3 linked regions of the Arabidopsis thaliana genome follow. The protein of the gene in region 1 interacts with the protein of each later gene in a pairwise test. Each region holds a gene or a part of one and is shown in the gene's direction. Other genes may lie near its edges.

Region 1 (9,608 bases):
CAACAACGAATTAGAAGAATAATCAGAATCGTGGCCGTGACAAGTGGAAAAAATATATCACTTACAAACAAATTCTGTGAAAGGATCTATTAAAACCCAGATAAGAGGAAAGCAGAACTGGACAACAACAGAAGGAAGCCAGCGTTTAAGACATGTTTTGTCGGGAAATCAGAGAAACTCATTACTCTAAAGATAGATTCAAACCTGAAAAAAGATTCAATCTTGGCGACAGCGGGAGAGGAAGAGGTTGACGAGGAGTGAGACAGGTTTTTTAAGAGAAGCTTCAAGTGACTAGAAACCCTAGATTAGATTGGTCAAATTAGAGTATACGCTTCAATCTATGAGAAAAGAGGGGTTTTTGGAAATTATTAATGTGTGTTCTTTTCTTTTTTTAAGTTGAACAAAATAAAAAATAAAATTATTAATGTGTTTTTTTTTGATAAATTGGAAATTATTAATTTTGCGCACTCAATTCTTTACCAATTAAATTAAATAAATGGACGAAGAGATATGTAGACTTGTATTATCTTTTTCTGACGTCATATATCAATTTTTTATGTATGGTTTGTGGATAGAGATGGACAAATAATAATAATCACGGATCTCAGAGTATTAAAGTATAGAATATAGATTAATGACCCTAACAAAATTAATCACATTTTTTTTACGTCATATGAATTACATTTTTTTTGTCGTTATATGAATTACATTTAAAAACTTCCAAAGATGTGATTTTATTATTTTACATAATTAAATTAGAATAAAATTAGATTTAGGAAATTAGCAAAACACCAATTGTGATATAGCGCGAGCTTGAATTTTATTTTTATTTTTATGTCAAAAAGAGTGTTGTATTCTCATTTTAATTCGAATCGTGTCCTGATGTTTTGTTTAATCAAATTGAGACCCATCCAAATGTATGTTGTCAAAAAGAGTTGGACTGGCTTCTCTAATAGTATCTTTGGTCATAGAGTACTAGAACACAAATTTGTCACCATAAATCTTTCAAACATATATATCTTTTTCATTATAGTATTGCTCTATACAATCTATGTACATACATGTACAAACCAAAGAGTAATGTTTTTCTTGACTCTTGATCTTCCATCTCAATGCTTTCTAGTTTCTTTTTCAGCCTACATTTGAACACAAATAATGAAGTTAAACTCCCAGAATATATGTATTGGATTATATATACATAACTATATTAAAGATCAACAAGAGAAATCATATACCGCTTTGATTGCTTTCTCAACAGAATCCCATCCAAACCGGTCAACGTAGTCTTGAACCGATTTTCTAGCATCAAGACTCATCATCTGTAAAACTCTTCTTTGTTCGTCTGTATAATTCGTTCCTCCTCCAACATTCATCCCAATTTTGACGTATTGTCTAACAAAATTGGAGTAAATGTAAGCTGCACCACTGAACATTGGTAGCACCAACCACATACAGAACAAAAGCTTCAAGTATGGCCAAAATGGTAGCCTACAATATGCAAAAGAACACCATTTTTTTGTCTTTATAGGCATAAATTTTTGAATTCGTAACAGAATTTAGTGAATAATATTGTAATTACCAGGCAAGGACTCTCCAAACGGATAGCTCGAATATCGTTATTAAAGAGTAAATGATCCAATATGTAAGCCATTGTTGATCATCTAACATTGTTGGACTCTCTATTGCTCGAAATGATGCATACCTAATCATTTATTCAGTTAACTATCAAGTTGCATTTGTAAAAACCAAACATTTAAATTCAGATTTGATATCACTTACAGAGGATAGAGAAGCATGACTCCAGGCCTGCATGCAACAAGAAAAAGGAAGAAAATAATGTTAAAAATTTGACAAATATAGTGTTTATTTTTATTATATGAGACAGAATTTGAATAAAATCCTACCCAACTAGAGCATCAAAACGTTTTGCAATCGCAATAATGAAACCCATTTTCTTTTTGAGTTTTTACTCTTCTTTCAACAGAAACTTTCTCAAACGTCTTTAGCACTGTGACGTTGGATATATACACAAAAGCTTGAAATTTCTTCAAGCAAAAGAATCTTTGTGGGAGTTAAGGCAACAAGCCAGGTAAAGAATCTCCAACGCATTGTTACGTTTTCATGAACCTATTTATTATATGTTCTAAGAAGAAAAAAAATATCTCAAAGTAAACGTTGGAAAATTTCTGATGAAGGGAAATCCAAAGTCTTGGGTTTAGTATCCCTATGAATGGTATTTGGAATATGTTTTCGTCAAAACAAAAGATTCTTTTCTTTTTCACAAGAGTTAGTGATCAATAACTTATGCACTAATTAATGAGATTGGACGTATACACAATTTGATTATGATACTTGAGTAAAAATCACCTGTCCTTTAATTTGGAAATCTCTCTTTCTTACCCATTTATATACTACTTCTTTTCATTAAAATTAAATTTCAATTATCAATCATCGTTCAATTTGATAAAGATTTAACATTTTTTGTCACAGGGCTAGTAAAAGCAATCTTTACATAATTCATCTTTCTTACATATATATATTACCTTTTTCTTCATTAGTATTCTATTTGATTATGATTATTTTGTCATAAAGCTAGTAAATTAAACACTCGATATGAGAATTATATTACTTCACGCTAATTAACTCTTAACACAACAAGAACTAGTGCATATTCAACTTTCAAAGCATATACTATATATTGAGAATATAGACCACGAAAGTCAATCAAAAGACCTACCAGCTCTCATCAAGTTCTTTCTTGAAATGATTTTGCAGAATTTCCAACTTAATTAATTCGACATGAATGTGAAAATGTGTGTTGCTCGTTAAGAAAATTGAATAGAAGTACAATGAAAATGATGAGGAATGGGCAAAACACAAAAGAGTTTCCTTTCGTAACTACAATTAATTAATGCAAATCTGAGAAAGGGTTCATGGATAATGACTACACACATGATTAGTCATTCCCCGTGGGCTCTCTGCTTTCATTTACTTTATTAGTTTCATCTTCTCTAATTATATTGTCGCATATATGATGTAGTTCTTTTGTCTAAATTACGTAATATGATGTAATTAATTATCAAAATAAATATTCAAATTGCCGTTGGACTAACCTAATGTCCAAGATTAAGACTTGAACATAAGAATTTTGGAAAAACTAAACCAGTTATAATATATACTCTTAAATTGCCATTTCTGAACACAACCAAATAATAATATATACTATTTACAGTTTTTTTTAATTGGCAAGAACACTGAAATCTTATTCATTGTCTCGCTTGGTAGTTGACAAGTTATAACACTCATATTCATATAACCCCATTCTAACGTTGACGACGAACACTCATATAAACCACCCAAATTCTTAGCATATTAGCTAAATATTGGTTTAATTGGAAATATTTTTTTTATATATAAAATGCCAGGTAAATATTAACGACATGCAATGTATATAGGAGTAGGGCAATAAAAAGAAAAGGAGAATAAAAAGGGATTACCAAAAAAGGAAAGTTTCCAAAAGGTGATTCTGATGAGAAACAGAGCCCATACCTCTCTTTTTTCCTCTAAACATGAAAGAAAAATTGGATGGTCCTCCTTCAATGCTCTCTCCCCACCCAATCCAAACCCAACTGTCTTCTTTCTTTCTTTTTTCTTCTTTCTAATTTGATATTTTCTACCACTTAATTCCAATCAATTTCAAATTTCAATCTAAATGTATGCATATAGAATTTAATTAAAAGAATTAGGTGTGTGATATTTGAGAAAATGTTAGAAGTAATGGTCCATGTTCTTTCTTTCTTTTTCCTTCTATAACACTTCAGTTTGAAAAAAAACTACCAAACCTTCTGTTTTCTGCAAATGGGTTTTTAAATACTTCCAAAGAAATATTCCTCTAAAAGAAATTATAAACCAAAACAGAAACCAAAAACAAAAAATAAAGTTGAAGCAGCAGTTAAGTGGTACTGAGATAATAAGAATAGTATCTTTAGGCCAATGAACAAATTAACTCTCTCATAATTCATCTTCCCATCCTCACTTCTCTTTCTTTCTGATCATAATTAATCTTGCTAAGCCAGGTATGGTTATTGATGATTTACACTTTTTTTTAAAAGTTTCTTCCTTTTCTCCAATCAAATTATTAGGGTTCTTCAGTTAATCCTTATAAACCATTTCTTTTAATCCAAGGTGTTTGAGTGCAAAAGGATTTGATCTATTTCTCTTGTGTTTATACTTCAGCTAGGGCTTATAGAAATGGAGGGTGGTGCGAGTAATGAAGTAGCAGAGAGCAGCAAGAAGATAGGGAGAGGGAAGATAGAGATAAAGAGGATAGAGAACACTACGAATCGTCAAGTCACTTTCTGCAAACGACGCAATGGTTTACTCAAGAAAGCTTATGAGCTCTCTGTCTTGTGTGACGCTGAGGTTGCTCTTGTCATCTTCTCCACTCGAGGCCGTCTCTACGAGTACGCCAACAACAGGTACACATCTTTTAGCTAGATCTTGATTTTCTTGAATTTTTTTTCTAGAATAAAGTTTCGACTCTTCTGGTGGGTTTTTCAATCTTTATGGTCTCTTTATAGTTTTTTTCCTTAGTTTCTCTGAAGCTCAAATCTCTTTAAAAATCCCCAAAATTAGGGTTTGTTTAAAACTAGGGAACCCTACTTTAACTTCTTTCTCTTAGTAAAAAAGCAGTGAGGGTCTTCTCTGATCATTAATTAGCATCCCCCATACCTTGTTCCAGTCACTTTTTCTCCACAAATCCTTATAACAGTATCTATATATGTATCTATTTATGTCAGTTTGTACAAGACACTTCGATCAATTTGATGACCCATCAAGTTTTATTTCTGCAGATTGATCATTAGGTTTCCATCATAGTAATGAAAAAGTAGGGTTCTTGATAAAATTATAATAATATATATTATTTGGCTATATAAAAAAGCTATGTAGATTCCTTCAAAATTGATTCACTAGGGAGAGACTAGTAGGTGTTTGTCTTCTGACACTTCTCTAATCTTTTGGTGAATCCTTTTGTTAAATCAAGAAAATGAATCAGGGACAAAGCTTATTGTTGAGTCACTTAATTAATCATCCGATCCATCAATCAAGAAAAATAACGAAACAGAAAATTTTGATTTTTGATTGTTATTTTCTCCACTTCAAGTTGGGGACTTGTCATTTCCGTTTTTCTATACGTTTCCAGCTATTAACAGCTCATGTTCATTTCACCATTTTGATTATTTGTCTGCTTTTTAAAGATAAATGTTTTCAAAAATATTGTTTTTATTTGCTTGGCTAGTTAATACTATAATTGAGGTTGATGTATGACTATAATCTATAAGTCAAGTCTCATATCATGGATCTAAGTTAAAACTAGTAAATTTGTAGTTTCAATGTGAACTTTCACAACGACTAAAGAACTGATCTGAAGTTTATAATGGACATGACTAATTTGATTAACAAAAGAGGAATGCATTATGTATGTAGAAACATGTGATATATATATGTTTCTATTATCAAAAGTGTAGTTAACTTTCTTATTTCAAACACCCTCATGCTTTAGTAGTATCTTACTTTTGACATTTCTCAACTTCAGCTTTCCATTATACAACAGCACAATGTAAATTACTTGTATATGAATATGAAAGCATAACGTTATGCAAAGATTTCTAGCTTTTCTTTTTCTGTTTTGCAAAAGATTTACAAATATCATGTTCTTGGTAAAAACATACTTGCCTCAGCCACATATGCATGTAAATGTAATGTTCAAATATTAATTCAGGAAAAACAAATGAAGAAGCAAAATTAGCTTCTAGAGTAGGGAATCTATTGACTTGACCTGAAAATCACTTCTTTTTCTTAAAGCCTAGTAGTGAATTTTTTAATCTAATTAGGCCAAAATATATACTAGCCTAAAATATAATTTGGATTTTGTGTCGTACATAAATTGGGACCAATTCCAATTAACTAAGAGCATATGCAATTCAAATTCTTTTTATTTTCTTCTCCGATTTGCTACTTCTTTCTTTTGTATGTTTTCAAATTAGGATTACACTTTTTTGGGGAAGTACACATTAGGGTCTTCTCGAACTTTGATTATACATATATATATATATATATAACTTTGTGAGATGTCACTGTTAATAGATAATAGGCAATAACAATAATATCCCAAAAAAAGAAGGGCAAACAAATCATATACTATATGGTACTGGTCCATTCACTATTTTGTCGGTTGAATTTAAGGTTTTGGGCGGACAAAACTTTATTTTCAAAACCTTAATATCCGTCTTTCTGTGTGTTTTGTATATCCAGAAGATAAAAATATCAATTTCTTTAACGACTTCATATATATATATTTTTTTCTCTTCTGGTTTTAGTGTTTGAATCCAACAGTTATAGTTTCGTGTGTCTTTGTTTTACTTGTGGTGGTTTAAGTTTGAGATTTTCACCGATTGCATCTATTTACATATATAGCTACCACAAAAAAGATTGCATTTTAAAATCTTTTCCTTTGTGTGAATGTTGATGAAGTGTGAGAGGAACAATAGAAAGGTACAAGAAAGCTTGCTCCGACGCCGTTAACCCTCCGACCATCACCGAAGCTAATACTCAGGTTAGCTTTTAATTAATACACCTAGCTAGCTAGTTCGTTAATTACTTAATTTCTTCTTCTTTTAGTTATCTGACCTTTTTTTCACCTCTTGTAACAATGATGGGATCGAAATTGATGAAGTACTATCAGCAAGAGGCGTCTAAACTCCGGAGACAGATTCGGGACATTCAGAATTTGAACAGACACATTCTTGGTGAATCTCTTGGTTCCTTGAACTTTAAGGAACTCAAGAACCTTGAAAGTAGGCTTGAGAAAGGAATCAGTCGTGTCCGATCCAAGAAGGTACAATCACTAACTCTCCATCAATCTCCTTATCATTGAATATATATCCATCTGATTCTTGCCCGTTATATTTGGTTTTTCTCTCCAGCACGAGATGTTAGTTGCAGAGATTGAATACATGCAAAAAAGGGTAAAAGTAAAACCTATCTTCCTTCACAAGTAACTTACCCCCTACTTTATTAGCAACTTCTCTTTCTGATGATCATCTTTTTTTATTTTCTGTTGTCGCTTGCATTGTAGGAAATCGAGCTGCAAAACGATAACATGTATCTCCGCTCCAAGGTTTTATACATAACTCTTTTTGGCATTTTTGATCATCATTTTTTTCCGGTAGACAATCTCTTGATGTGCAAATTCTAAATATCTCTGCAGATTACTGAAAGAACAGGTCTACAGCAACAAGAATCGAGTGTGATACATCAAGGGACAGTTTACGAGTCGGGTGTTACTTCTTCTCACCAGTCGGGGCAGTATAACCGGAATTATATTGCGGTTAACCTTCTTGAACCGAATCAGAATTCCTCCAACCAAGACCAACCACCTCTGCAACTTGTTTGATTCAGTCTAACATAAGCTTCTTTCCTCAGCCTGAGATCGATCTTATGCATATATATATTCATGTTACACTTACTGTCAAAAAACTTAAAATGCAGATGGTAACGATTTGAGAGGGACCTAATAATTTACATATATCTTGATTATGTAAGTTAAGGCTAAGACAAGAGATCCAAAAATAAAATGGGATTTATTGCTAGTTAGTGTTGCATATTCAAATCAAAATGTGTTGATGTGACGTAAAAAAAGCATATGCAATTTCAACAAGACTATTGAGATGCAGTTTGAGATGCAAAAGCTGCATATGCATAGATAGATCCCAAGTTACATCTAATTAAGATCTTTCTAAATTCTAAATCATGGACATGGAAGATATAAGCGATATATATAGGCCAAACCTTTTTCCCCCTTTTGTTTTCAAACTGCAGAGGATATAGTCTCTTTATCCTTCTAAATCAGCTCAGGATTTTTCACTTTCTAAGGTAATGCATAAATTTACAAGAAAGAGATCGTAGATGGTACCTCAGGTTTACTAAGACAAGGCAACTGAAATGAAAACCCTTGTGAATTTGAGAGTCTTGCTAAAGTTCAGTGGATCAGGATCTTAGTCCCAGCGTCATGTCATAGAGGGACAAGAAGATGTGTAAGATCTTCAACAGCAATAAATCCTGCTTGTAGAAGTTCCTGTATTAACACTCTGCAGTATATGAGACTGTATCAAGAAGGAAGCTTGATGTGAGAAATTGATAGTCTCTACATCCACAGCTTTACCAGTACCTAAAACTATGAAAGGACATCATGCTGCATCATAAGATGGAACTATTAGTAGAACTTTGTGTCATAATGTTTTTGGATTTTAGAACCCTTGACCTTTAATCATTCTCATTCTGCGTCGAAAACCTGCAACAACAGAAATGGCAGAAGATATTTGAAAACAAATGGAGCTAAGAGATGTACCATTTTCTAATGAATTCAACGAGACTTTTCTTCCTCAATTCCATTGTCAGCAGCTCCTCCCAAGCTTTCTGCAAGACTTAATACATTCATGCATTTCTCACCATGATTTATAGTATAACGGCCAAAACCTGTCATAGTGTCTTGACCTAACTTTTACTGCAAGAGAGCAACCAAACAAGCTACATATCCTATCAGTTTGATTTAGTGAAAACTCTCATAGCTAAATTTTGTTTACTGCTACATGTGTTCTGGCATCTGTCTTAATCTGAGGTGACTGTCTCCAAAAAATAAGTTTAGTTTCCTTAACATAGAATGTGATTAGGTGAAAACAGAACACTTTCAATTCAAAATGATAAGAAACCACTTAGTGAGCTATGTTCCGAAAATTCCACATGCTGATGAACAAATCAAGCCTAGAATATTCAATCGATGCATCCAACTTAGCAAGGAAAAAAAGTTGAAATTCTTGAAGAAAAATAACTGCAGAGCTAGAACTTGAGAAAATCTACTTAATGCTATCATCACAAACCAAATAAATCATCATCCTCTGTTCACACATTGATCATGACAAGCATATATCACAATTTCAAAAAGTTTACTCGTTCAAATTACTTCAAAGTTTCATTACTTCTGAAAAAGCTCTCCATGGCTAAAACAGATTCAGTGGATCAAAGTTTGATTACTTCTGGATTAGTATTATTTTTCGTATGGATTTTGTTGACATTATTAAAAAGTTAGAATCAGTCATAAGATCATAAAGTAGGAAAAAATAACAGCCTTGGGTGAAGATAAACTTGGATAGAGATATTTCTCAACCTCCAAAGATGTCGTGTTTCCATAACCATGACACACCAACTTAATATCATGAATGCAATTCCAGACACCAATAGAGAGAGTCATTAAAGATATTTTCATTGGTGGGTAGAACTTGGGGTTTGAAACTTGAATGCATGGAGACCATCTTGCAATATTTACTCCACAGAGTTTATTACACTAACACCACACTTTTGATATGTACTCCTTCCTTCTTTAATGCTATAATGTTTGCTCCTTCTCTCTCTTTCTCCTGCCCTTGTCGTTTTTGGAGTTTAATCCAGTTGTTTTCACTTTATAGACACACCTCTTAGGCATGATTTTAAAAATGCTCATGAACAATTTAATGCAACAGTTATGACAATGTGTTGGTCTGTGAGCATGT
Region 2 (7,553 bases), on another chromosome or scaffold:
ATATCGATCCAACGATGCGCGGAATTCTGATTGATTGGCTCGTGGAGGTAGGAATACAATATTTGCTATGCATAGTTTTACACTTTTACTTGAACTTGTGTAAAAGTTGAAAGTGTGTTATTTTCAAAGTATTTGCTAAACTAAGAATCTCTTTTCTTTCAGGTCTCTGAAGAGTACAAGTTGGTTTCAGATACACTTTACCTTACCGTGAATCTAATTGATCGGTTCATGTCTCATAATTACATTGAAAAGCAGAAGCTCCAGCTACTTGGTATCACTTGCATGTTAATAGCCTCGTGAGTTACCACTTTTACTGTTTCCTCATTCACAATGCAATGAAAGTAAAACTGAACAATCAGTGGACACAGAGGAACACATGTTTGCTCTCATTGCATACTTAGAGCAAGTTTTACTCTGGAATATATACTTAAATTAATAATTACAGATTAGTACTTCTCAAGTAACTAAGGTATTCCTCCTTGTTGAAGCAAATACGAAGAGATTAGTGCACCGCGGTTGGAGGAGTTTTGCTTCATTACAGACAATACATACACAAGACTAGAAGTAATTAACATGCAGACTCCATCTCTATCAGTTCTCAGCTAAGATGATTCATTCTTAATAAAAGATTAACAAAAAATACAATACACTATTTTTTCAGGTACTAAGTATGGAGATTAAAGTTTTAAACTCTCTTCATTTTCGGTTATCAGTTCCCACCACCAAAACGTTTCTCAGGTAATCATTAAACACATCAAAATGCACCATTACTTAACATAGTCTCTTTAACGTTTTCAAAACATTCTAAAGTCATTTTCTTCTTCTCTGTTTCAGGCGGTTCATTCGCGCCGCTCAAGCGTCTGATAAGGTGAGATTTACATTGATACATTTCACTAATCATTCTCAGCATTTGAAATAACTTGGAATCAGTAAACTGATTTTGTTGGTTTACAGGTTCCTCTCATTGAAATGGAGTACTTAGCCAACTATTTCGCGGAACTAACTCTCACAGAATATACTTTCCTAAGGTTCCTTCCATCCCTAATTGCCGCTTCAGCGGTTTTCTTAGCAAGATGGACACTCGACCAATCTAACCATCCTTGGGTGAGTGAGCTCATATTTCTCATTATGAATGTTTTTACCTCATTGAAACAATTTTTGGTGATGTGAATGTTATTGCTTACAGAACCAAACTCTACAACACTATACAAGATATGAAACATCCGCTCTAAAAAACACGGTACTTGCAATGGAGGAGTTGCAGCTCAACACCAGTGGAAGCACTCTTATCGCTATACACACCAAATACAACCAACAAAAGGTATAATAATAAATTCAATCTAAGAAAGTGGACACTGAATCTGAATTTGGTCTCTCTCACTCTATATGAATATTTGACAGTTTAAAAGAGTGGCAACATTAACATCTCCTGAACGTGTGAACACACTCTTCTCAAGATGAAACCGCAGATTTTCTGATTCTCCTGATATGACCAAGTCAGCACAACTCTCTGGCTTCAGCAGTTTGTATCAGGTGATCATCAATCCTAGTTTCAGACATCAGTTTTGGTCTCTACAGTTATGGAATAGTTTTCCTTGTAAGTTGTCTGTCTATCTTTTACCTGTAACTGTTGTTAGTGTCAGGTGCTTCCAAAGAAGTGCCATCTCATGGAAAATTGTATCAACCAAAACACAATTTTGACTCATTGAGATTTGTCCTTCACAGTAAAAAAATGTTATAGATTTTTGTAGACTCATTAATAAAAGCAAGTGTTCATGCGCCATTGTATATTTATTTAGTTTTGGTTACCAAGTGATGTTCCAGTGGTAATTACATTCCATTGGGCCCAAATAAACTTCACAATAAACAAATATGAAAAACCTTTTGTTTCTTGTTCAAGAAACTCGACCTAAGCAATACCAGATTCTCTAAAACAATACAAACTGGGTTTTCTCTCTTATGCCAACCTTTTCCTGTCTTGAGTGAAAAGCCTAGTTGATACCCATTTAAACAAAGATCTATAAAGACAAAATTTGTTGAAAACTTGGCTTTCCATTAACAAGTAATTATTTCTTTCACAATATCATACTAAAGATGAATTATACGTATATTTGTCGTAAATAAACGGAGCGATATATCATAGAGAAATATCCTAAAATAGCACTCAAACAAGTTTAATGGACAATTAAAATAACATTGTCCACAAATTTGTAAAATTAGCTTTAGTGAATTTACTCAGTAACTATTTTATAATTATATAAATTAACAAAATTAATTACAATTTGAAATCACGATTAATTTACAAACAATCGTGTGAAACGTCAATCGAATGTTAATAACTTTATATTAGTTTTTTACTATGAATTTGTGTTTTTTTAGAGTTTTAGAGATTGTGTGTTAAATTTAGTAACAAACTTACTTTCATGCTATTTATGAGAATTGCATATTTCTAGACCAATTTTTTATTATTATAATTCATATAATTATTCTTGAATTATTTATGTGCTATTTGTGAGAATTACCAATTTCTAGACCAATATTTTATTATTATTCATATAATTAAACGTTTATTGAATTATTTTAGCTCTAAAAAATATAATGAAATTTAGAATTGTTATAGAAACTTTAAATGACTCAAAACTGATCTTTGTTTTTTTGTCAACCACACATTAATTAAAAACTGATCTTTGTTAAACATCTAAATATTGAAAAACAAAAGGATTACCACCGCACCTATCCTGCATCGTCTTGTACCATTTGCATTCATCAGAGCCATTATATATTCATGTGGCTGTCACATCCTTATATACATTTCAACTTATAAATTTAATTTTGTACGTTTAGCAGATGTTGGTGAATTCATTTATTCAAGCTTAAGGTTTAACTCGTTCTTGTCTCCTTTAGGTTCATAACATTTAATGGACAACAACTACTCCAAATATCCGTGGACTTTACCACGCGACGCACCGACAATTCTCTAGCCTTTTCATTAATTGATCAGTAAAAACACTTCTATAATTTTAATTATTCTCAGAAATTTTAACCGGTAGTAACATAAACGTAGATGATCGAAAAAGATGAAATCGAGGTCTCTGTTTTGTGTCGAATTAATAGATCTATAAGAAATCAAACAATGAAAATTAAATAGATGAATGAAATATGTTTTGACGACGTTTTCACGTCACTGTTTAAGTTATCTGTTAGTAAAATTTGATAGCATTTAATTTGAATTGCTATGTAACTCGGAATAAATTCGACGGCAAGAGGTGTGGGATGTGATCAGTCTTCTAATTAAGTGTAATCTTTACAAAAAATCAGTATGAGTTAATACAGGTTTATAAATAGAAAGACATCTACAGTAAAACCTCTATAAATTAATAATGTTGGGACTGCAAAATTTTATTAATTTAGAAAGATTTTAATTTATCGATAAATTAATATTTATTAATTTATAGAGAGATTTTCGTAATTTAGTAACTTTTCAAAAATTTCTATAAAATTTTTTTCATTATAGAAAATATCTTTCAAAAATCAATTACAAGTAAATAATAATATCATGTTTAGAAAACAACACCAAAAGTTTTTGATAAAGTAAAATACTATAACTAAATTTAAATAAGAATAAATACAAATTTTAAGCAAAAAAATATTAGAATTATATTTCAAAATAATTTCTTACATATAATGTATATATAGTTGATATATTTATAAAATTATTAATTTATGATATTGATGGGACCATATATTTACATAAGATTTTTTAAAAAGTTATTATCTTATTAATTTATCGATTTGTGTCACTTTTTACACTGATCCCAACTCGGGACTGGAAGAATTTATTAATTTATAGAGGTTATTAATTTATCGAGTATTAATTTATAGAGGTTTAACTGTATATGAATAATTGAATACACATGGGACATCATTATAGTTACCTTAGTACGATTTTATGCATTTGGTTACCAAAATCCACTAGGCTTCGTAATTGGTTGTGGGTCAGTGTCCATTCGATAGTTTGCATTAGCGATAAACACTTAAAACAGTAAAACGTGATCTATTTTTAAACAATAACATTTCTTCTTATCAAATATTCACATAATTAATGAAGAAAAGAGACGAATTGATAGGCAATAAGAAATATGATCACTTGGTACCATTGTATGCATGGTATGAACTGACATCAAGTATTTGTACGTTGTAGGGTAATTATTAACATTGTAGAATGACAAGTATGATCAAATGGAAAAGGATTAGTTATATGTAGCAAAACTAGTATTTGTACTTGGACTATCTTGTCATGTAGTTTTCCTAACGCTATATATAATCCAATAACCCCATGACACGGAAGAGATAGGGGACATACAATAAATATCAGTAGAGAGGACGTGGGAAAAGCAGAGAGTTAAGTGAGTAGTTGGAGATAGAAAGATCAGAGACGAGGAATCTCTCTCCCACTCTCACTTTCTCTCCTATTCTTAGTTCGTGTCAGAAACACACAGAGAAATTAAGAACCCTAATTTAAAACAGAAGAATGGTACATTCGAAGAAGTTCCGAGGTGTCCGCCAGCGTCAGTGGGGTTCTTGGGTTTCTGAGATTCGTCATCCTCTCTTGTCAGTTCTCTCTCCCTCTCTATCTATTAATAGAGACAACAGTATAAATCTGTTTATGCAAGTCCATGCTATGAGTTAAGTTTACATTTTTGGTGTACGTGTAGGGCAGTTTTCTGATCATTGATTATATTTTCGAAGATTCATGCAAAGCTCTTATAATATCATGCATTTTTGTTTAAGTCGTTTTCCTTATTTTTTTCCAATTAAAAAACCCACGTTTATTAACATATACATATGTTGAGTATTTGTACTTTTTGTGTTGTATTTTGAAATTTTGAGTGTACATAAATTTAAATGCTTTGTCATATAATTGATACTGATGTATTTTCTATGTCTTAGTTGGATTATAGAAAATCATATAGCAAAGAATTGGGAAGGAACGAACACTACTCACTATAAACTTTCCTCAAAAAGAAAACGACCCAATTTATTATCAGTAACAATTTATAACAAATTTGTTGTGTGTTTGTTTTAGTACTTTGAAGTTTGAATAAAATGTGTGTTTTTTGCTTACGTAACTTATGTGAGCTATCAGGAAGAGAAGAGTGTGGCTAGGAACATTCGACACGGCGGAAACAGCGGCTAGAGCCTACGACCAAGCCGCGGTTCTAATGAACGGCCAGAGCGCGAAGACTAACTTCCCCGTCATCAAATCGAACGGTTCAAATTCCTTGGAGATTAACTCTGCGTTAAGGTCTCCCAAATCATTATCGGAACTATTGAACGCTAAGCTAAGGAAGAACTGTAAAGACCAGACACCGTATCTGACGTGTCTCCGCCTCGACAACGACAGCTCACACATCGGCGTCTGGCAGAAACGCGCCGGGTCAAAAACGAGTCCAAACTGGGTCAAGCTTGTTGAACTAGGTGACAAAGTTAACGCACGTCCCGGTGGTGATATTGAGACTAATAAGATGAAGGTACGAAACGAAGACGTTCAGGAAGATGATCAAATGGCGATGCAGATGATCGAGGAGTTGCTTAACTGGACCTGTCCTGGATCTGGATCCATTGCACAGGTCTAAAGGAGAATCATTGAATTATATGATCAAGATAATAATATAGTTGAGGGTTAATAATAATCGAGGGTAAGTAATTTACGTGTAGCTAATAATTAATATAATTTTCGAACATATATATGAATATATGATAGCTCTAGAAATGAGTACGTATATATACGTAAACATTTTTCCTCAAATATAGTATATGTGTTGTGATTCTAAGACTTGTAAACTGATATGGCCTACTGTTTAAAGAGTAGTTGATATTTTCTATTGAATTTGTGGACATGATATAATTACAGGAGATTAGTATAGTAGTCATTATGATACTTATGAAGGTACAAGTGGTAGGATGATAATTAATTAGTTTAATAAAGAATAATGAACATTAAATGTGAAAGAGATTTGCCACTTTTGTTAAACACATCTGCGAATCAGATTCTTGTGATTCGAATGTTAGTCCTACCTAGATTAAGAAAGGTTTTACTATTTTAACATGTTTACCTGGTTTGGGTAAAGTTCATGTCCTGTCCTATTCCGTCTTGTCCCGATCATGATAAACTTTATGAGCAATTCTTATAGAATTTTATTTTAAAATACTGATTTTTGATATTCAATTTTATTTGATTATTTTTTACTTAGGCATGTGATAAAGGCGATTTTGACTTAGTTTCACATACAAGTTTAAGTAAATTATCTTACATAACAAAAGAGATTCAAGTAAATAAATCTAAGCGGGCTAAAATTAATCAACTAGCTCAAGTTGAAACATTTTATCAAGTGAACCTCTTCCAAGTCTAGATAGCATCTCAAGTTTATATATGATATCATATCATGGACACACTTTGGATTTTGGATATTTTGTGTCGATGTTTAAACATCTTGTTTAGATATAAGGAGAGCATCTATTTTGACATAAATATTTAATAGGTTAAGTTGACGAATTTTGATATTTTGGATATTTTGATGCGGTAGGGTTATTTTATTATTTTTATTCTATTTTGACTGAGACGATTATATATAGATTACCGGCAATATTTTTGTTTTTTGGATACTTAAAATATAAATACTGTTATATATGTCTTCTAGATATTTTATATGAGAGGTCTAATAAGTTTTAAAAATACATAAATATGTAACTAATTAAATATTCATGTTATATCGAATAAAAATATTAGTATTCAACCGCACTATATCATTTATGTAAACATTGTTTCTCAAAAATGATTTAAAATCTTAAAACGGACACAAACACCAGGTATAAAGTTTTAACTAGTTATATTGGCTGGTTTAGAGTTAAATTACATTTTGTTAGTTCAGAATTTGACTGGTTTGGTCGTTTTAAAATTTAATTAATTTCGCTATTATTCTTTTTATTTTATTTTATTTATAACCGAAAACAATTATAAATTGGTGAATCACTTCCGTTACGTGTGAGTCTCTCTCTTTTAGTAAACTCTGAAAACGTTTTTTCAGGATCTCACCAAAATTCACAAACTTCGGAGAATACACCACCGTCTCCGCCGCAGAACCACCGTCGTAAGAGAGGCAAAAACATCACGAATATGGGTAAAGGTGGATCACTAAGCGAAGGCGTGATTAAGAACATAATCATCTCCTACACATACGTAGCAATATGGATCTTCCTAAGCTTCACCGTCATCGTCTACAACAAATATATCCTCGACAAGAAGATGTACGATTGGCCATTCCCGATCTCACTCACAATGATCCACATGTCCTTTTGCTCAACCCTAGCTTTTCTTCTCATCAAGGTCTTCAAATTTGTCGAACCGGTCTCAATGTCACGTGACACTTATCTCAGATCCGTCGTCCCGATCGGAGCCTTGTATTCACTCTCTCTTTGGCTCTCTAACTCAGCCTACATTTACCTCTCGGTCTCCTTCATTCAGATGCTCAAAGCGTTAATGCCAGTCGCCG
Region 3 (7,205 bases), 2.3 Mb from region 1:
TGGATCAATCTTTCCGACCACCAAAAGCTTATTTCCACCAGTATCTGCCGTCACATCTTTCACTCCATCAAAGTGCTTAACCATTCGCTTTATCTTCTTAGCGCAGCCTTCACAGTGCATATCCACTTTGTAAACAAAGGCAGAGACAACCGCGGCGACCGGTGGTGCTGCTGCTGCCGCGGAATCTCCTCCGCCGCTCTTTGGCTTGCCGTCAGTAGTCTCAACTGGGACTACGGTGGCAGCCGGCTTCTTCTCTTGTTCAACTTTGGGACCTTCTTGGACCTCTCCCATTCTTGGTTGAAGATAAGGATATATTTTTAAGGATTTTTATTTTTTGTATTTAATAGGACGAAGAATTGTTTGAACGAGAGTAAGTGGAGGCAAATGTGTGTATTTATAGAAGAAGAAGGAATGCGTGAAGGTTATTATTTTACTATATTATCGATACTGATTTTTTACTGAATATTATATGGTTTGATATTACATGTTCATTTCCGTATGTGTGTATTTGTTGGGGGCTGAGGTCAGCGAGAGTGGGCGTTTGACGCCGGTTTGACACAAGTGATGGTACGAGACACGAAGGCACCAAGTTTCTGAACAACATTACTTTAATCATCCGTGGATAATATTAAAAACAAAAATTGTTTGTGACGCAAATAGTTGATCAAGTTTAATGATTTCTTAAAGGTAACATTGCTTTTGAAAACAAAAAGAGCATCATTTCTCAGCTTTGACTACTTGATGACTTGAGTCTAGATTAGCAGAATCTTATATCAGTTTAAGGTAAAAATACATTCGACCAATTGTCACAATTCAAAGAATATACATCCTATACCTTATCAGAAACAAACTTTAGTTAGAAGATTTCATGGCCTTAAATACGAAATCAAATCATTTTATGAAGTCCGGTAATTCGTTTATTATTACAAGTTCATATAGGAAGAAAAGTGATGTTTTAATCAAATCATTTTTGTATTTTTGAATCACATCATTTTTGAAATTTTATCAATAAAAAAGAATTTGTAAAGAGATTAAAGATAAAGATAGATTCTTTTTCTTCTGATAAATGTGTATTGGTTAAAGTCATGATTGTGCAAATTGCATAGTCTTTTCTCATTGTAAGTGAAGTTGATGGAACCTCCTCTTCTCTTCTCTTTTATGTTTTATATTATTTAAAAAATTCATTTTAAGAAGTGATTTACTACAATTGATTCAAAAAAAAATCTTCTAACAGATTTCCCAAAAAGTTTTAGATATTTTGTTGTATTTTTAGGAAAAGAAACCAAAATTTATGATATTAAAATACCACATGTTATATTATATGATCCAATAAACGCATATTAAGATCAGATCAAAACTTTAAAATACAAGCTATACGAGAAGTCGCACATGGTTTTAATCTGTCAAGTAGTTTGACCGATTAATATATTTGATACTAGTACATAGAAGAATTCGAGACATGTGTGTGTAATGTACATATATTACTAAATTAACATCAACAAAAATGTGTATCATATATCTGAACAATTTTTTAAAAAATTGTATATGTTTTCGAGTATCAAGAATGTAATTTCACGTTTCGTTGTAATACACTATTCGTATCACTATCACCTACTGGCATACACTACTTTACATAATTCGTTCAGCACCAATAGCTTATATAATTATTTTTTAAATTCTTGCATAAATCAAAAGAATTTTGCTCTCCTAAAGAGCACAATTAGTGATTTTAATTAAATGATTACTTTGGTTTTGTTAGTTTCAGCTTCATGGAAACAGCCAAGAACCGCCTATCTACAAAAAACATGGGCTGCGGTATAGAGATAGAGACAAGAGGAATTGCAATATTAACTCACTGAGTTTTTACTTTTCTTTGAATGCTAACATATTGGGTTCGCTGTGTGAAAATTGAATTTTATCTGAAAATCTTTCAACTGCATAAACAGTAAAAGGATAAGAAAAGTTAAAAAAAAAAAATGTCCCAAGGGTTGCGTAATTGCGTTTCGTTCCTCCTTTCACCGGTCCATTTTGTCAACATCATGTTTCATTGTGTTTTGTTGATTTTTTTTGGTCATATGGTCCTATGAGTGACGTAATACATGAGGTGGACACATATTATTATATACACATGAAATATAGAGTTTGATTGAGAACTTTCTTGTCTATTATCTAAAATCTTTCGTAAAGTTAACGATCACAATGACCACAAACTTCAACGTACGTAAGTTTGTGTTTGTATTTTGAAAATCGATGTTTGGATCTTTTGAAACGTTTTGTTCAGTAATTTGGAAGTTTAGGGTAGAAATGGTCACTTATTATATGTAGCTAAATACGATTTCAACACATACAAACTACAAAGATTTGTTTTCGTGTTCCACAGTGTAACACGTCAGGCTGACTTGGATAATTTTAACTAACTTTACCAAGGTTAATATAAAACATAATCACTAATTGCAACATAAATAGACCATTTTAATTTCAGGTTGCAATTAGAGATTATGGTATACACAGCCACACAAAATCAAGAAAAATATGGCAACAGAAAATCGTCTCGTTTCAACCCTTTAAGTAGTTTCATCCATCCATATGGTGCCATTTTAAGTACACATGCAAGTCACCATTTTTCCTCATATTTTTTTGGCAAGTCTCATTGCTCGCCTCTCGTTGTAGCTTACAAAAATGACCATTCAATATGGTTATAAACCATCTTCATGCGACTGGCAAAAAAAAAAAAAAAAAAAAACCATCTTCATGCATGTCAGTTTTTTGTTGCTAGAAAGTTCGCCGTACATATTTGTCTCTCATGTAAAGGTGAAAATGGCTGTAACATGGATTAAACTATTAAAGATTCATTTTATGAAATATAATTTCCATTCATTTTGCTAGGAAATAATGAGGAAAGAACAAATTAAAAGAAATTTGTGTTCATCACAAAACGATAGCAATGTTTACGGAATGGAACCTAAAAGTAAACTACAGTTAGAAAGTGAAAGAAAATAAGATAATCAAAATGATATACAGTAACTTGGTCTTAGGAGTCTAAAGAGTAAAATCTATCTGATAATTAAGACAACATGAAAAAGATGGGCTATAGAAACGTTTTGAAATCAAGTTTAGTGGGGGCAGAGACAAAGTAGAACCAACTCATCAAGAACTCAATTTTAAACATCTAAATGGATCTCCATGCAACATTATTACACTAATAAATAATATGAAAAGTTTGGATTTGGTACCGGTCTGTTTCACTATCATTGTTACAATTATTGTATTCCTCGGCAGGAGCACCTTAGTTTATTAGAACAATTAGACCCCATTGACGAACCAATATGGTGTAGAAGTATCTGGAAAGAAAAAAGGAACGTCCCACATTTCAAACAAATCTTGCTAACCACGTATTATCTAGCTGGAGGAATGAGAATGACACATTGTCCTTGCTCTAGATGTAAATCCACATAACATAAGTAGGATCGGTTCTATTAAAACATTAATTGGAAAGCATTTCAAACTCGGGATAGTAAGTGTGGTGGAGACATGACGTATTGGTGACAAAAAAAATTATAGAGAGAAGAAACAAGCTTCAAACCCTCCCCAAGACAACAAAACCATCATTGTGGGGAGCATTAAGAGTATGCAACGCAAAGAGGCCTTTCATTCCCTTGCTCTCTCCACTTCTAAGAATTTATTGGTTTCTTGTTATACTAATAAATTAATGGAACCCTAAAAACAAGGTTATGAGATTTATCAGTAAACCTACGCTTCTGTCACTAATTCGGTCCAAGTACATTGCTAGAACTCTGTGACTTATCTTACAATGCTATTTCAGAATAATTTCAGACTAGATCTTAATTGGTTCCGTATGTATTACTGATTTCCAAATCATTAATTATTAATGGGCCTATCTAAGCCTGTTTAATAAATGGGCCTTGCGTCAAAGTCTCCATCACTGAAACCGCCCTTTTTAGGTTAATCAATACTTTATAACCGAAACTGATATTTTTTCTAGGGTTTCCTCTTCCGCATTCGTCGTCTTCAGCTCCTCCTACACAGTTTCTTCTCTGAATCGTAAGTTTTGAATTAATCTGCAAATTCGTTTAGATTCTTATCAATTAGTCACTAATTTTTCAATTGATGATTCGATCTCAGTACTTAGGAAGCTAAAATGGGTAGATGTCCGACTAGAAAAGTGAAGAAGAGGAGATTATCTCACAAAACAGCTCGCCGTGACAAATTCGAAGTCAAAGGCGATGACTTGGTTTACACAGAGTTGCGTAAACCGGAGACGGAGATTAAGCCGTTACAGCTTGACGAGGATTTGCCTGGAATGGGTCAATTCTACTGCTTACACTGCGAGTAAGAGAGATTCTATGATTACTCTATTGACGATTCTTTTGGTTTATGAAACTTTTTTTTAGCAAATACATTATCTTTGAATTACTCTATATGACCCATTTGTTTGTTTTACCTTGATATGTTTTAGTCGATACTTCTCCAACGTATCAGTGAGGGATGATCATTTCAAGACTAAGAAACACAAGAAGCGGTATGTGGATTCTTCTCCTTCCTTGGCCTTGGTTTCTATTTTGTTTTGTGTTCTTGGAACTGTGTTTGGTTCTTGTGCTCGTTTACTTTCTTGCTTGCAATGTTAAAGCTATTTCTCTTCACTTCTGTGTACCTAAAGATGTTTTAGCATTTGTAATTTGATTACCTTTGTATGATTATACATGTCTGTTGCAGTGTTGCTCTGTACTCAAGACTTATTATATGTGTTTTGTCCACTTGGATTGCAGTGTGAATATGATGATGGGACAAGCGCCACACTCGCAACTCGATGCAGATTTAGCCGGGGGAATGGGGATGCCGGACAATGGCCCAAAGCTGATGTCTAATTTGGTATTCACAGAGTTGCGTAAACCAGAGACGGAGGATTTACCTGGAATGGGTCAATTCAACTGCTTACTCTGCCAGTAAGATTATATGTGCAAAAAGACAATCTTTGAATTACTCTAGATTTCCATGTTTGTGTGAACATTTGTTTGTATTTGATTGACCTTGTCTCTCTACCTTGATATTTTTCAGTCGGAACTTCTCCAATGCATCAGTGATGGATTATCATTTCAAGACTAAGAAACACAAAAAGCGGTATGTGGATTCTTCTTCCTTGGTCTTGGTTTCTATCTTGTTTTGATCTTGGAACTGTGTTTGGTTCTTGTGCTCGTCTACTTTGAATTCATCTTGCTGGCAATGTTAAAGCTATTTCTCGTCACTGGCGTAGCTAAAAATGTTTTAGCACTTGTAACTTGATTACCTCTGTATGATTATATTATTGATCTATGCATGTCTGTTGCTCTGTACTCAGACTTAATATCTTTCTATTGTCCATTTGGATTTTTGTGTGATTGCAGTGTGAAGAAGATAGAGCGACCAGCGCCACACTCGCAACTCGATGCAGATTTAGCTGGTGGAATGGGAATGCCAGACAATGGTCCAAAGCTGATGTCTGCCTGAGTTTTTACAGTTATTTTCCTTATTTAGTTAATGGAACCCGAAATTTTGTTGTAAAACTATAATCTCCTAAATTAATGATACAGGTTTTTTGTCTGTTGCCAAGTATCTATCATGCAGTTACTGGTTTAGCTTCACTTAGAAGTTTAAATCTGATAAATCATATATTGTTTGTGTTGGTTGCATAAAAAACTTAACCATATAAGCCATACCAATCGTTGTTTTGACAAAATAGAAAGAACAAAACACTAGCTCTCTCAGCTGCTGATATGCGTTTGTAATTGAGATCACATTATGCAGACCTTGTTCTCTTCCGGGGAACTATTGCCTTTCCACGAGCAATCACGCCAAAGTGAAGCCTAGAAGCAGAAGAATCCCATAAGAGTCCTATATCGTCTCTTTCTTTCAAACTTCTCCTTTTGGATAAAATCTTCCAGCCAGTCACCCGTTAGAACATAGGTATATTGTACTGCCAGACGCAGCTCATGCATTGTGCTCGTGTCGTTGTCCTATACCTTAACAATGAGTCCGCTTTTGCAAATCAGCTTCAGGCAGATGTCCTCGAATCTGCTGTTCGAAGAAGCTTCTGGGCAGACGAAGTTGGCCATAAGTAGGGTTAACATTATGCTCGGTCAGTCTCTTCTTGATGGTCCATTGAGGTGCGTTGTTGACAAGTCTAGGGATAGGCATCATCGTAATCTCTATTCCATCTCTTGCTACCTTCAATATGGATTCAATGCTCCCAAAACAACGAAGAGAAATGTTACTTGGGTCTCCCAAAGTGTCAGAATTGTTTGTGCCATGTTCTTCACCTGAAACGGTAAAAGAACATAACATCGACTCTGTTGATAAAAAGGCACAACCACAAGAACCTCCTCCGAAATGGAAAGGATTTAGCAGGTTTTCAGTGTTCATGGTGATGTCATTACTTTCGAAGTAGTTTTGGTTTTTCGAGAATGGACCATGTCGACTGTTAAAGGCTTCTTTGTCTCTGTTCATCGGAGAAACAGAGGAGCAAGACGTTTCAAACGGTTCTTGGCTCATAATTTGCTTCTCTGTTACCTTGGATGACAAGAAAGACAAATCTTGAGGGCGCTCTCGTGGTTCTTGACTCGTACGAGCTCGATTCTTTTCCGATGGAGATGTACAATCGTCTGAGAATGACATTCTCGTTTCGCGATTTCTTCTTCGTCTAAGAGAGTTATCGTTATAACGATTTCACAGAGATACTGTATGAGGGACTAATGAGACCGCAAGTGATGATATATATATATATATATATATATATATATATATATATATATATATATATATATATATTATTCGCAAAGGCTAATCCAAAATGTTGGCAAGGATTCAAATAAAAGAGTGATAACATTTTGAGAAAACCCCGCCGCTAAGGCATCCACCAAGAAATTCTAAATTAAGTGTTACACAGACAAGAGACACTCAAAGTGATCGGGAAAAGTATGCAGGCCCTCTAGTGTTTTGTTTCCAAGCCCATAACGGAGCCTAAATTCATCATCCGCAACACCTTGATAAATGACTCTTCTAACGCTGTTCCTCTTTGGATTAGGAATAGGCGTAATAGACTTGAATATCAAACGGATCGAGGTGCAAATCTCATCTTGATCTATACCATTTCTCTGCTTGCGCATGTTTTATCTTCAGAGCTTTTCTTATGTCCCACTCCCAGTATCCAT

The links. Proteins that work in one complex are often made in the same cells at the same time.
Region 2: the proteins of SHP2 (region 1) and SHN3 interact in a two-hybrid assay, tested with the Arabidopsis thaliana proteins (one large-scale study listed by BioGRID).
Region 3: the proteins of SHP2 (region 1) and AT2G36930 interact in a two-hybrid assay, tested with the Arabidopsis thaliana proteins (one large-scale study listed by BioGRID).

The regions. Positions count from the first base shown.
Region 1 is NC_003071.7:17,816,351-17,825,958, forward strand, and holds SHP2 (K-box region and MADS-box transcription factor family protein), read left to right. Parts: upstream 1-3,904; 5' UTR 3,905-4,076; intron 4,077-4,236; 5' UTR 4,237-4,251; coding exon 4,252-4,478; intron 4,479-5,907; exon of another isoform or gene 5,908-6,534; coding exon 6,535-6,616; exon of another isoform or gene 6,617-6,736; coding exon 6,737-6,898; exon of another isoform or gene 6,899-6,986; coding exon 6,987-7,034; exon of another isoform or gene 7,035-7,138; coding exon 7,139-7,180; exon of another isoform or gene 7,181-7,270; coding exon 7,271-7,456; 3' UTR 7,457-7,663; downstream 7,664-9,608. Other genes in the region: HVA22F (HVA22-like protein F), read right to left, coding at 1,110-1,136, 1,236-1,488, 1,580-1,702, 1,780-1,806, 1,905-1,951. UniProt on the Arabidopsis thaliana protein: Probable transcription factor. Interacts genetically with TT16/AGL32 in a partially antagonistic manner during flower development. Is essential for the coordination of cell divisions in ovule, seed coat development and endosperm formation.
Region 2 is NC_003076.8:8,816,106-8,823,658, forward strand, and holds SHN3 (Integrase-type DNA-binding superfamily protein), read left to right. Parts: upstream 1-4,352; 5' UTR 4,353-4,531; coding exon 4,532-4,611; intron 4,612-5,146; coding exon 5,147-5,636; 3' UTR 5,637-5,957; downstream 5,958-7,553. Other genes in the region: CYCA2;1 (cyclin a2;1), read left to right, coding at 1-47, 163-296, 489-564, 662-738, 835-868, 955-1,104, 1,187-1,321, 1,402-1,461; AT5G25400 (Nucleotide-sugar transporter family protein), read left to right, coding at 7,178-7,553.
Region 3 is NC_003071.7:15,508,302-15,515,506, reverse strand, and holds AT2G36930 (zinc finger (C2H2 type) family protein), read left to right. Parts: upstream 1-3,899; 5' UTR 3,900-4,062; intron 4,063-4,143; 5' UTR 4,144-4,159; coding exon 4,160-4,350; intron 4,351-4,477; coding exon 4,478-4,540; intron 4,541-4,787; coding exon 4,788-4,964; intron 4,965-5,076; coding exon 5,077-5,139; intron 5,140-5,402; coding exon 5,403-5,505; 3' UTR 5,506-5,609; downstream 5,610-7,205. Other genes in the region: AT2G36950 (Heavy metal transport/detoxification superfamily protein), read right to left, coding at 1-291; AT2G36920 (B3 domain protein), read right to left, coding at 6,019-6,669.